Daphnia pulex: one gene and its partners. The protein of the gene in region 2 interacts with the protein of the main gene of each other region in a pairwise test. Links are inferred from orthologs where the notes say so. Each region holds a gene or a part of one and is shown on either strand. Other genes may lie near its edges.

The links. The genes of interacting proteins can lie anywhere in the genome.
Region 1: the proteins of rac GTPase-activating protein 1-like (region 2) and kinesin-like protein KIF23 interact in a two-hybrid assay, tested with the Drosophila melanogaster proteins (3 studies listed by BioGRID). The link is inferred for Daphnia pulex from reciprocal best matches to the Drosophila melanogaster genes tum and pav.
Region 3: the proteins of rac GTPase-activating protein 1-like (region 2) and anillin-like interact in a two-hybrid assay, tested with the Drosophila melanogaster proteins (2 studies listed by BioGRID). The link is inferred for Daphnia pulex from reciprocal best matches to the Drosophila melanogaster genes tum and scra.

What each region holds. Positions count from the first base shown.
Region 1 is NC_060023.1:8,671,712-8,675,690, forward strand, and holds the start of kinesin-like protein KIF23, read right to left. Parts: upstream 2,804-3,979; 5' UTR 2,626-2,803; coding exon 2,615-2,625; intron 2,486-2,614; coding exon 2,260-2,485; intron 2,182-2,259; coding exon 1,948-2,181; intron 1,889-1,947; coding exon 1,779-1,888; intron 1,718-1,778; coding exon 1,499-1,717; intron 1,445-1,498; coding exon 1,273-1,444; intron 1,208-1,272; coding exon 974-1,207; intron 909-973; coding exon 657-908; intron 596-656; coding exon 455-595; intron 389-454; coding exon 147-388; intron 84-146; coding exon 1-83. Other genes in the region: anaphase-promoting complex subunit 2-like, read right to left, coding at 2,969-3,268, 3,335-3,751, 3,821-3,979.
Region 2 is NC_060028.1:9,420,422-9,424,703, reverse strand, and holds the start of rac GTPase-activating protein 1-like, read left to right. Parts: upstream 1-1,473; 5' UTR 1,474-1,618; intron 1,619-1,941; 5' UTR 1,942-1,955; coding exon 1,956-2,040; intron 2,041-2,099; coding exon 2,100-2,302; intron 2,303-2,374; coding exon 2,375-2,701; intron 2,702-2,772; coding exon 2,773-2,977; intron 2,978-3,054; coding exon 3,055-3,274; intron 3,275-3,352; coding exon 3,353-3,626; intron 3,627-3,702; coding exon 3,703-3,953; intron 3,954-4,020; coding exon 4,021-4,153; intron 4,154-4,221; coding exon 4,222-4,282.
Region 3 is NC_060019.1:5,226,216-5,230,453, forward strand, and holds the start of anillin-like, read right to left. Parts: upstream 2,804-4,238; 5' UTR 2,616-2,803; intron 2,542-2,615; 5' UTR 2,539-2,541; coding exon 2,521-2,538; intron 2,421-2,520; coding exon 2,222-2,420; intron 2,089-2,221; coding exon 1,841-2,088; intron 1,774-1,840; coding exon 1,678-1,773; intron 1,579-1,677; coding exon 951-1,578; intron 890-950; coding exon 460-889; intron 378-459; coding exon 209-377; intron 136-208; coding exon 1-135. UniProt on the Drosophila melanogaster protein: Required for cytokinesis. Essential for the structural integrity of the cleavage furrow and for completion of cleavage furrow ingression and proper formation of the midbody.

The DNA.
Region 1 (3,979 bases), on a different chromosome or scaffold from region 2:
TCTCCTTGGCTTTTACGTGTTGGATTTCCATCTCACCCTGATTAAGAAGGCAATCTTTCTCCTTCAACTCTTCTTCCAACAACCTTAAATGAGAAAGACGAAAATTAAAAACTGGTGAATAGCCGTTTTTATCTGGGAATATTTACCTGGCGTATTTTTGATGCTCGAGTACATGGCGCTGTAAGGTAGCGTTAGCCGATTCCGCATTGAGGACACGGTTTTCAAATGTTTGACAACGCGAACGCTCATCTTTTAATTGCTCGTTCAAACTCAAGTTCTCTTGACGTTTCAAAATGAGCTCCTCTTCCATTTCACGAATAAGAGTTCGGACTTCGACACATTTCTTCATTTGCTGCTCCCGGCGACTCTGTTGATCACGGATTCGCACCTTTGAGAAAGGAATTACACACGTGTATAGCATTCGCAAATTTATGCTGAAATATAAAACAACTACCTGCAGATACTCAACCAAGGCCGTTATAAGTCGATCATCCGATGCTGATTGTAATTCCAGAGGAGGCCACGAACAGCGAGCCGCACTGAAAACCATATCAATGTCAAACGGCACTTCTGATTGGGGGTTCGAAATTCCACCCTGCAAAATCACATTGAAGTTAAATATGAGACTAATAAACTCGCATTGATGGAATAAAAACCTGTTCCAGTTTGCGATATGCCTCGGTTAGAACACGATTGGCCTTTCTGCGGCCTGGGAGAAGGGCGTCTCTTCCAGCTGGCGTTGCTCGAGGAGTAGCTTCCAAGCGAATATTGGGCTGTACGGCACGAGCGATTTGCACTTCTTGAGCCATTTCAGCAAAACGCATCACGGAAAGAGTTTCGTCGTAATCATCCGCACGCGGGTTCACGCAAACAATCATTCTAACCTTTCCTTCGCCGTCAAAGTAACTCTGTTTACAAAACATTTTAGCATTTAGTAATATTAGATACATTATGAACTTGACAGGACGCTTACCTTGAAAAGATGTGTGATTTTAGAATCACGGTAGGGCACCATTTTATTAGTGCCATTCAATTGGTTTTCGCGCAGAATTTCCAAGCAAGATCGAAGCGTCATCAAGGTGTTGTTGATGCTACCAGCTTCACGCAAACGTTCGCCAGTGGTTTTAGTTCGACTGTTTCTTTCTGAACCAGCAAGATCAACTAATGAGAGCTGTCCTACAGTTAGCACCTTCTCTGGAATGGCACCCTTAAAATTAACAATTGATTAGTTTTTTAATTAAAATCGCAGACTTAGTGATCGATCGATGATACCTGGTAATCAAGCGGAGCCTGAACAACGCGGATGTTAAATACGGAGTGGCTTCTACTCGACTCTGCGTTGAGAGTAGTGTGAGCAACACGGCGTCGCTTTTGTCCCTTGGCAAGAACTTCAGCAGCTTCATCGGCCGACTTAACTTCAACTTCAGTCACAGCATGAACATACCTGCAAATAAATAGGTTAAAGCAGCTCACCTTAACAAGTGAACTGTTCACTTACATATTGTGATGTTGGTCTTCTCGTAAGATTTTTGATTGTATCTTGCCAGGTCGAAGAGGATCGATAGGAGTATCGTCCAACAGATCGAAGACTGTATTGTTGTAAACTTCAACAAACGTTACAAAAACTGAATAAGCCTGGTCTTCATCTAATGCTGAAATCCGTGTAGCATCCGTTACGCGCGGCCCTTCGTTCTCTTGTCCTCTGCGTGCAGGTGTCCTAAAGTATCGCAATTATAATTAGATTGTTTCAAAAATTTTTAAGAATTTGGTATTCTTACTTGAACTTGTTTGAAGTTTGAGCTTCAGATTGCCTTTCTGATAATGCATCAATTTCACTTTGGATTTCAAAACTGTTCATTTTATCTGGTTTGAAGATATACTTTTTAGCCTGGTAGATTGAAGATTAGTTAGTACAACTGTATTGCGACATTTTTATTTTTGAAATACCTGGTAGTGACCAATGCTGTTAAAAATAACATCCAAACAACGAGGGATAATGCCACCATCCTGCAGCTCACCATTCATTGTGTGTGTTTTTCCTGATCCTGTGACTCCATAGGCAAATAGCAAGCTATTCTTTCCATGAAGCAAGTCTTCTATTAGCGGTAAAGTCACAGTGTGGAAAATAGGTTTCTGTGTGGTCTTCTCGTCAAACACACCAGTGAATGTATATTGTGTTGCCTATCAAAAAGAAAGCAAGATTAAAATACTGAAAGTACTTTCAAAAATAAATTGCTGGGAAATAAAGTGTCAACTTACTTTTGTCGTTCCACTTCTGTAACCTTGAGAAGTTTCTGGAGGTACAACTTGAACTACAGTGTCACTTAAAACAGTTACACACGAATCATCAGAGGGGACATCAAGAGGTCTGATTCTGCAATACACTTGCACAGGATCCCGATCTCTGGAAGTCATCAATGCTTGTTTGGACCGTGCTGGGGTAATTGGTGGTTTGGTTGGCACCTTAGGTGCAATCTTCAATCGCCTAAGATCAACATAAAACATATTCTTAACTTCTTTCGTATACAAAGCATAGTGAAAAAAAGAGCATAATCGGACATGAAGAGAGCACGAAACACAAATCACACACTAATACGGTTTGTAGAAAACTTACGATGGTTTCATTTTCGAGCCTATTCGGTTCAGTACTTATGAACCCCTGTCAAATATTTAAAACGAATGAGGGATTTCAAAATGTAAACCGATTTGTCTGTGCAGTGGGCAAACTTTTTGGCCGTTGTCGATTGTCGTTTCATTCAAACTGAGTGCAGCATCGCCAAATCGCCAGGTGTGAATTCGAAATACAGCGTTGCCAGTAACCTGACTTATTTATGACATTGAAATTTGAAAATTCGAATACAAATATTAAACGTATTTTAACAACTTTTTATTTCATTACAGAGGTAATCACTTCAGAAAATTTATTGTAATGAATACACATTTTTAAATTATCATTAAAAAAATTAGTTCATGGTTTGGGGAGTCTATACATTCCAGAGGAGAAAGACAACAACTGTTGCTTAACTTTTGAATCAAGGAAATTTTTCAACTGTTGCAGAGTGCACTCTGCCCCACTAGAGCCTTGCATTGTAAACATTTTAAGCATCTGGTGAATACGCTCAACTGGAAGGGCTTCGAGATTTGTCAGCATGCCAACAACGTACGACCAATAAACTTGCAAACCATCTTCTTCCGTTTTTTTCTCACTATCTTCCTCGTCGTCATCTTCTTCTTCTTCCTCCATTTTCGCTAGCGTTTCTAAAAGAATCTACGAAAAGGACGTAATTGCAAAATACATACATTTGAGAAACGGTAATAACTTTTTAAGATATACCTTATGTCCTGTGAAATTTGGTCCATTTTCATCCACTTTGAAGCGATCAGTAGAAATTTCCTGGAGGACCCCGTGTGTTTGCCACACGTGAACTCGCCTTCGAAGATGAGACATTGGTAATTCCATTTCCTGGCTAAGCTCTTCCAAATCCCATTGATCCTTGTCTTCAAAATGAGATATGATGGCAGCCAAATCGGGCGGGACGGTGAAAGACACGCAACGGTGATTATCAAACTCCAGTTCCAGTTCCACAGAACCCGACTGAGGTACCCAATGCAGAGAACGACTCGTTTTCACCGTTTTATAGTTTTGATTATATTGTTCGAGCTGGTTGATGATTTTGATCGGCAACTTCATCGGTTTGTCCTTCAGCTGGTCCCAATACTGAGCTGATATAATCATAGCCGAAATCGGAAACTGGATGGAAATAAATAGAAAAAAAATTAACTTTTATTTATCGATGCGCTAAACGAATTAAAAACGTACTTCAGGTTTGTGCACGACCGACTGTAGGTGGGTGTTGATTCTCTTGGAGTCTGCCACGTCCTTGAGCATCACTTCGCAATTGTGCAATTCGTTTTCTCCAAATCGAATTTTGAGAAATTCTAAATTACGAATCTCTTCTTCTGTGTCAAAATGAAGGTT
Region 2 (4,282 bases):
TCAATCGGATGGGAGAATCTCAGGCGATGATGTTTCCATCGTTCTTTTTCAATTTGAGAACAATGCGGATCGTCTTTGGTTTGTAGACGATCGTGACCCCATCAATGCAACGTGTCTTTTCCTTCCTTTTTTTCCAGACTCGAATGTCATATATTGAAAACCCTCTCGCTTGTGTATCTCTTTGGCGTTATAGTCGCTGTGTATACACAGCAACACGATATCCCGCCGAGAAATGAGAGTCTCCTTCCAAAAAATCATTTTTGAATATTTCAAACCCGTCGTCGCGGTGTTGATCTCTTTCGAGTGCGGTTCGCAGCAATTCTTTTCTTGAATGACTTTTGTTCAACACGAAAAAAGAGAAAAAAGAGTCGTGCGATGCTGTGCGACTTCCATCAAGTCAGTCGAAATAAAAAAGGATAGCTAGACTGAAAGCTTCAGAATAAATATTGAACCAGCTAGCAGCATATAGGCGAATGCGCTCTTTTGAATGTAGATGTCTAGGGTAGACAGTGTAAATCCAACATCAAGCATGCAGCACGGCAGCAATATCTGTCGCCTTTCAGAGTTGATGCCGTATATAGTACTACTACTATACTGTGTGCAGCAGCAACCAAACCCAACTCTCCCGGGCGAGTCTGTGTCAGAGATATATAGTATATAGTGTAGAGTTGCTTGGTCCAACTTCAAACGAGAAAAGAGCCCTGGATGGAATATAAGACGACGAAATGGAGAAAGAGAGAGAAAGTATATGTGTCTATGGTCTTGGATGATGGATTATTCGAGTTATGGATGAGGAGGAGGCTATATAGCTCGCGCAAAACTTTCGCTCGACTCCTACTGTACTACTACATTATCGCTTTCATGCATATACAGAACCGTTTCTCTGCTGGGTTTATTTTATGTATATTTTTTTTGCTTCGCAGATGAGCAGTCTCTAATATCTTCTTGGGGAAAAAAAAAGAAATTCCGAGAATGTCAAGAAATATGGTGGACATAAACGGGAGAAAAAGTAGATTTAATGCGATTAATGGCTCATTGGACGATGGAAAGCGCTCGTGGTGGATGAAGGAATATCTGCCAAATCCCCCATTTCCATAATGCGATTGACTTTTATTGCTTACATTTCCATATTCAACATTTTGGGATTTTTCTGGGTTTTTTTTAAAGACGGGAGCATGTCCGCCGCGCATCCATGCCCGGCGGCAGCAAACGTCATGTTTACTCGTGATCGTTATTCATGGAGAATAATATTTCTTATGAATAATTGAAAATAAATATGGAGCCATCGCTATACATATCGATCCAGTATATTTTTGTTGTCGTAAATCTTCACCCTTTTTTTCCAACGTCTTTAAGCTGTAAGCTCCATTACTCTCTAGTTGTCAGGTGGACTAGGCTAGGGGGTGGGGTATTTTAAGGGAGGGGCGAGCATGTATACGGAAAATCGGCAACGCCGCACCCTTCCTCAACGGAACATTTTCAAAAATCCAAGCGTTTTCCCTCGATACTCGTCGTCGGGATGCCAACTGTAAGCCACAAGTGAACCGTTTTACAAGAAAGCTTCAAATTACAACGGGGATTTCTGTTGTCTTCCATCATTAAGAGTGTTTTATTTTTGGTATGTGAACGTTTTTACTTTTTTTTGCTGTTAAAAATTTTTTCTAAAGCATTTTGTGTGTCACTTTTCTTTGGTTTTCAAATCACACCCAAACAAGTGTCAATTGTAGTGGTGTTCCAAACTGTCTTATTTTCTGGTTGTCAACAGTTAGAAAGAGTCTTAAACATTTTATTTAAGGGTTTGATTGAACTTATTGAGATATTTAAACATTTTTAGTTTTAATTATTGAAAATTGTATAATTAAAAATTTGTTGATGTGTTGTTTCGCCAAACTTCAAACTGGTCCCCCGTTGTGGCATTGACATTAATGGATTCTTATTTAGGTTTTCCCCTAGCCATGTCTGCCAAGCAGGTATCTGTGTTGGCTCAGTATGATGACCTGTGCAGAGGCTTCAATTACTTTGTCAACAGTTCTGAAAAAGGTAAATTGCTCAAGACAATGTGTGGCAATCATTGCATTTGACACTTTCCTTCTTTTTAGAATTCCTCAAGTTTGCCGTTAATCAGGAAGCTTGCCGCCAGAAATGGCTCGAAGCTGAAGCAGAGCTCAAACGTCTGCACAATCAGTTGAATGAAGTCAACAAAATGAATGGCAAATTAGAGCTGCAATACCACCATGCTACTGTTTTGCTGAAAAATGAGATCAAAGTCAGAAAGCAAGTGTCTGACGAGAAAAAGTCTTTGGTATGTTATCTGCAACATTATTATCACTCTTTAATGTTTACCATCAATGTCTCGTCTGCACTTGTTTTACAGGAAAAGCAATTGCACGTTGTACGTGAAATCGTGTCAGCTGAGAAAGATATTCGAGATGAGACACGTGAAAAGCTGGCGATGCTCAGCAACACAGGACGCTACTCGCGTGGCAATTTCGATTCGCCTGGTGACCGATTAAACACAATCAACGAGCTCAACAGCACCGGCTCGCTCTTGGCGTCATTCGACCTGACCACTGAACGCACAGAGGAAGAACTCGAGCTCTCAGTGATGCGTTCCAGTCGGGCACCTCGAGGTAAAAGGACATCGGAAGGAATGTACAATCTCGACAACTCGAAACGATACAAGGCGTCGTCTAATCGCGAGGTACAGTTCAAAGTTTCCCTCGTTTCTGTGACATTAGTTACCAACTCTCTTTTCTTTGTTTGCATTTAAAGAATATCATGGAAGTGTCCGGTCACGAACGCGTGGTTGCCACAACGACAGTGACTGTATCCAAGGGAGGTCCAATCACAGCCACATCTATTATTGAAAACCATCCCGATATGGGCAGGGAAAACGATATCAGCAATGCAACACCTAAAAACCAAAGAAAGCGCAGTTCTAGCGAACCGGGAATCCTACCGAACGCTCCTCCGCAGTGTAAGAGATAAATTGTCTTGATTGCCTGGCCACAACAATGGGAACAACAGCTAATTAATTGTTTGTTGACAAACTAGATTTGATCGAATCATCTTGGGAACTTCCAGATGGCAAGACTCCCGTGGCCATCCGCCGTCCGAGTGCTAATCCGTCGGCTTCAGCGCACTCGACCCACACGCTTGGCGGAACTGCGTACTTGCGCACTATGGCTTCTGGTGGGCGAATCAATCAGCGCCAGCACACCTTCAGCCAGAAAACCATCATCAAACCAGAGAACTGCCTCCCTTGTGGCAACAGGTGAGGAGTGTTGTATTTTCTTTGCGTTGGGAAACGTGCTGGGCTTTAATTTAATTAGTGAAACCTCTTATTGCGCAGGATTAAATTTGGCAAGCCCGCCTTGAAGTGTGTCGAATGTAGAGGAACTTGTCACGTTGATTGCAAGTCCCGCATGCCCATGCCTTGCGTCCCGACTGTTCAAACACCCTCTAATAAGGGATTCGTCGGAACCGTTGCTGATTACGCTCCCAACATCTCTCCTATGATCCCCGGCATTGTCATTCACTGCGTCAACGAAATTGAGCGCCGCGGATTGACAGAGGTTGGCATCTATCGTGTCAACGGTTCCGAAAAGGAAATTAAAGACATGAAGGTAATTTCATCACTAGGAATCGAACCCCAAATTTGATCAGTCCCAAATGACAGCCCTTTGATTTATTCAATTTCAGGAGCGCCTCTTGCGTGGCAAAGGCCAGCCGACTTTGTCTCAAATTGATATTCACGTTGTCACTGGCACGTTGAAGCTGTTTTTCCGCTCGCTGAAAGAGCCACTCATTACCTACACGCTGTGGGACAGTTTCGTTCGGATCGCCGAACTTGCCGATGAAATGGATATTCAGACCACTGTGTACTCGCTCGTTCCCGATCTTCCGCAACCTAATCGAGACACTCTAGCATACGTCATTCTTCACCTTCAACGGTAAAACTTGTGCGGGATTGAAAGTTGTGTTGGCATCAACTTAATTGTTGCGATTTTGTTTGAACAGCGTCGCAGAAGCTGAGGTATGCAAGATGCCAATTACCAATTTGGCCAGGATCTTTGGCCCGACCATAATTGGTTACTCGTGTCCAGATCCGCTTCCAGAAATGGCGCTCAAGCAGCTTAAGAAACAGCACTTGGTAAAAAGTTTTTCCTTTCCCTATCTCAGATTTGCAGGGCTAATACTTGTGTCGTTATGCAATTACAGACCATGGAGAGGCTCTTGCTCATCCCGAGTGATTATTGGGCTCGCTACGTGGACGTGGAGA
Region 3 (4,238 bases), on a different chromosome or scaffold from region 2:
AATGGCAAGGCCATCATCTTCCAATGTTAATTGATCGCAATCATCCCTTTTCTGATGTTTGGGAGACACGGAATGTTCAGTATCACCCAATGCTTCATCTAGTAGGTCACTGATATCCGTTGAGTCATCATCATCCTATTTCAATTTTGATTCAATGGTTAACCGGGTATCAACAAATTTTGCTATGATTCTTTTAAATTTTGTTTACCGAAATGATTTCTTTCACACCAAGATTAGGGCGCACCTGTGGTTTATCCAGTTGCATTTCTGTCAGTTTCCTCTTGGGAGTATTGATGAATTGACTCAAACCTGCTCGCCCAAGAATTTCAATAGTGAAGCTACTATCCAAATCGTAACCTGCTCTCAAATCGCCACCACTGATAAAATTACAATTTACAAATTAGACAAATATTTTTGAAATATTGAATTGGATGTAACTAATTAACTGTGTATACATACTCTGTGCTTTTTGGAGTATTGTCCGTTTGTTGTTCATCTGACTCTGATTCGTTTTCTGTTACGCTGTCAATATCTGACAAACACGGATAGAGTTTACCCGGTTTAGGAGGGGATACTCTTATGGGACGAACTTGATGAATTCCTGCGTACAGCGCCCCGGAAGGTTTTTGCTGTTCTTCGATATTTTTGTCAAGCGATGGTTCGGCATGAATATTGCGAAACATGCCACTCGATGGTTGATCTAAATTATATTCCTTGGAAGACGAAGCAACGGTATTCATAATATTCGGCTTCGGCGTGCAGTTAGAGATAGGACTTGAAGTTGCTGCTCCATGGGTCAGCGGTTCCGACATTTTAGTGATATTGCCACCCCTTGGGTTCTGCTGCTCCTTAAAGTGGTTTGATTTAGCAGTTTGTACGCTTGAAAGCTCTGAAAATACAACAAAGGAAGTGTTAGACAAAATACGCGAAAGAAAGTGAACTTCTTTTACCAGACACAACCGAGAGTGGAGAATTAGATTTCTCTTTCATATAAAAATCGAGATTTCCTTTATTCTTCGAATCGATGGCTGTCGTCCGTGGCGAAATAACAGAACGACTTGTTTGTGGTGTTCGTAGTTTAGAATTAGAAATTTGGCCTTTGTTGTGTTCAAAGAGTGCCTTCCTTTCCGAAATTGTCATTTCAGCTGGATCTTTCATTGGCACGCGAGGCGAATCGAATTGAGCAGCCAACTCCTGCACAGAACGCATTCTATTTTCAGGCTTCTTTTTTTCTAGTTCCACAGCGCTCGATGACGAAGGGGTAGACTCGTGATTCTCTCGTATATTCTGAGAAATTCTGGCTGATTTCATATCTGATGATATTAGACCACCTGATGGTCTCTTAGAAAATTTTCCAGCCAACTGACTTGCTGGTCCCTTTGGCTTTGCTGGAGTATTGCTTGAATGTGTAACACCAGCAGGTGATCTGGTTTTCAAGGGAGATGCTGATTTATGCGGCGATCCGGCAGTAAACGTCCAAGACTTGGCTGTTTCTTCTTCTATTTCGTTTTCTTGCTCTTTCTCAAACTCGTATATTAAACGAGACCGTGATTCAGTTGGTGTGAAACCTTGGGATTCCTATTCATAATTTTTTTTAACAAACAAAGTAGAATAGAAAGGATAACACAAATACAATTAAAGTCTATTAAGATGAAGATCAATCTTCGCTGTTCATACCAAGCTTTGGAGAACCGATTTATCTAACGCAAGTGATTTGTAAGGAGTTGATACATCCTCATTTCCAGATACTTTCACAGGAGTGCATTCTTGTAACTGTGAGGTGGACAATAGAAGTAAATTTGTTTTAATATTAAAAGAAAAGATAATTATGAGAACCTACCACTGATTTCACACTTGCTGCAGACTTCAAAGTAGTTGTATCTCTTATTTTAGAAGGAGTACTGGTTCCTCTAGGATTTTTCTCAGGAGTGGATGAAATTGGTTTAGGAGCTACAACAGATTCATCTACCCAATCATTTATCCGGTAGGCTAGAGCTTCCAATCTAGTTTTTCTTGACACTTGTAATGGAGAAGTTTGATCACTTGGAACCTCAATTTTTGTAGGGCTGTGTCTTAAATGTTTGATACCTATTAAAGAAGATAACGGAACAAAATACTTTAGTTTTCCATTTTTTTTAGAACTTGATGCATAGTTAATGAACCACAGTGAAATAGTTTCTGCCTCAACCCACACAATTAAATTAGTTGTTTAAATAAATACCTGCATCATTTTCCTTTCGAATTACATTTCTTTTTTCCTCGAAATTACACAATGGTATGTTTTCATCAATATCTGAAATTTGGCTTGAATTTGATGGAATGGTTTGATTCTCTAGTTTACTAGATGACAATGAGCCCAACCCGGAGTTGGGCTTCACTTTCATCATCTCTTGCCTCTGCTTTGTTCTTTTTATCATGTTCTGAAAAATGTTAATACAACTTGTAAGTATGACAACACAACATCAATGAAATCAAAAGTGAAAATATTTTGATGGCACCATAACAAAAAAATATGCAGACCTGAGTAAATAAATCCATTTTCTTCAAACAATGAAGATGTGACAAACATGTGATTAAATTGTATCCAGTAAGAGACTTGAGTGAGTACTTATTACTTTACTGCAACGTTTTTTGTGATATTTGTAACCGAGTCTATAGTCGAAATATCGTGCTCCTAACGATTCGCGTGAGTTTTAAACAGCTAAAAAACCAAAACTAGACTGCAATATGTAAGAACCGACTGTGAGTACGTTATCGTTGTGAACCGTTGAAGTCCCAAGTCCCAACAGTCCTATTTCAAATTTGACACTTACGTTACACACCCACTAGTTGGCGCTACAGGACATTAGCCAACACAAAACCTATTATTACAAATGGCTAACCTAGATATTCTTTGGTTGTTTACTAAATTACTGCTTTCTTGTGGATTCTGTATTCTGAGGTAGAAAATGTAGTAAATTGACGCAGAATTGTTTTAATCATTTGAGTAATACAATTTTTAAAGCTACAATTTCAATGAAAGTTTATATATTAAATGGTTAATTTAAAAAAAGAGAAGCTTCACTGAGTAGCAATTTTTCTGTCAATTTCCAAATTTCAAATATTCAAAAATTAACGGAAAATCAATATGGAGTCATTGATTAATCTTCTGACACTGAATAAAGCCGTGCTAATATCAGCAACTTGGACAACAACTTAAAACTAGTGTTATATATACATGGAGCTAAATTAACCCGACAAGGCGACAATGCGCTCAATAACTAAGCCCCGCTTGAAGCTTTCAACTAAATCCGGAAAGAAATTTCGAATTCTAAAATTTTCACGTTATTCATCTTTCGATTTCAAGCCGGATTTGACGAAATTTTTTTTATCAGAATCAGAATGACGAAATTCACTTCCATTTAGGAAATATTTAAGTTGGCAATTTTGGTTACAGGCTCACAGCCTGCATATAGCCATATATCACTTAATTTAGATTTTCATAAATTTTCAGCTTTCAAATAATAGCAACAATGACTGACTCTTATCGAGCAAGTGGTTGTACAATCATTTTTTGAATTTAAAGAAGACGTAAACTGTGATTACGCAACATGATTTGGTAATAAAAAAGGAAGCAACAATTTGCGAGCTTTTTTCTACTTTTCTTTCACTTTTCTATTAACAACGAAGGATTTTAAAACGTAGATATACGCCACCCCCACTTACAAATTAAATTACGACATATTTAGTTGACTTATTAGTGTTTGGCCAGTGGGTCTGCAGGCGTTGCACGAGGCATTTCTTATGTTTTGTTTTGTTTTGAAGGATAAAATTAGAATTCTCCCCTTTTTATTTTATTCTTATTTTGCAGTAACAGTACACGATAAAATGAAAAGAGAAGTTTTGATGTATAACTTGTATCACCATGGCAAATAGCAACATTAGAAACACATCAGGCGCACAGTAGTTACCGGTGAATCAGAAAACCCGGCACATGAAGTACTGATCCAGCAATCGACTTATTCTTGGCTCATCTATCTTTCTTCAGTGAAACATTAGTAAATCACAAATACCCAAGTTATGTATTGTGGGAACATATGGATGAATGTTTCTGAGAAAACTAAGTGTTTAATAAGCGGTCTTCCGTCCAGATTCCATATACTTCACCGAACTGTGATATGCACTTATTCGAAATTAAAATGCTCTATGTTGCGCACAGACGAAAAAGTGAAGATAGGAAGCTGAGCATGCAAAAACTA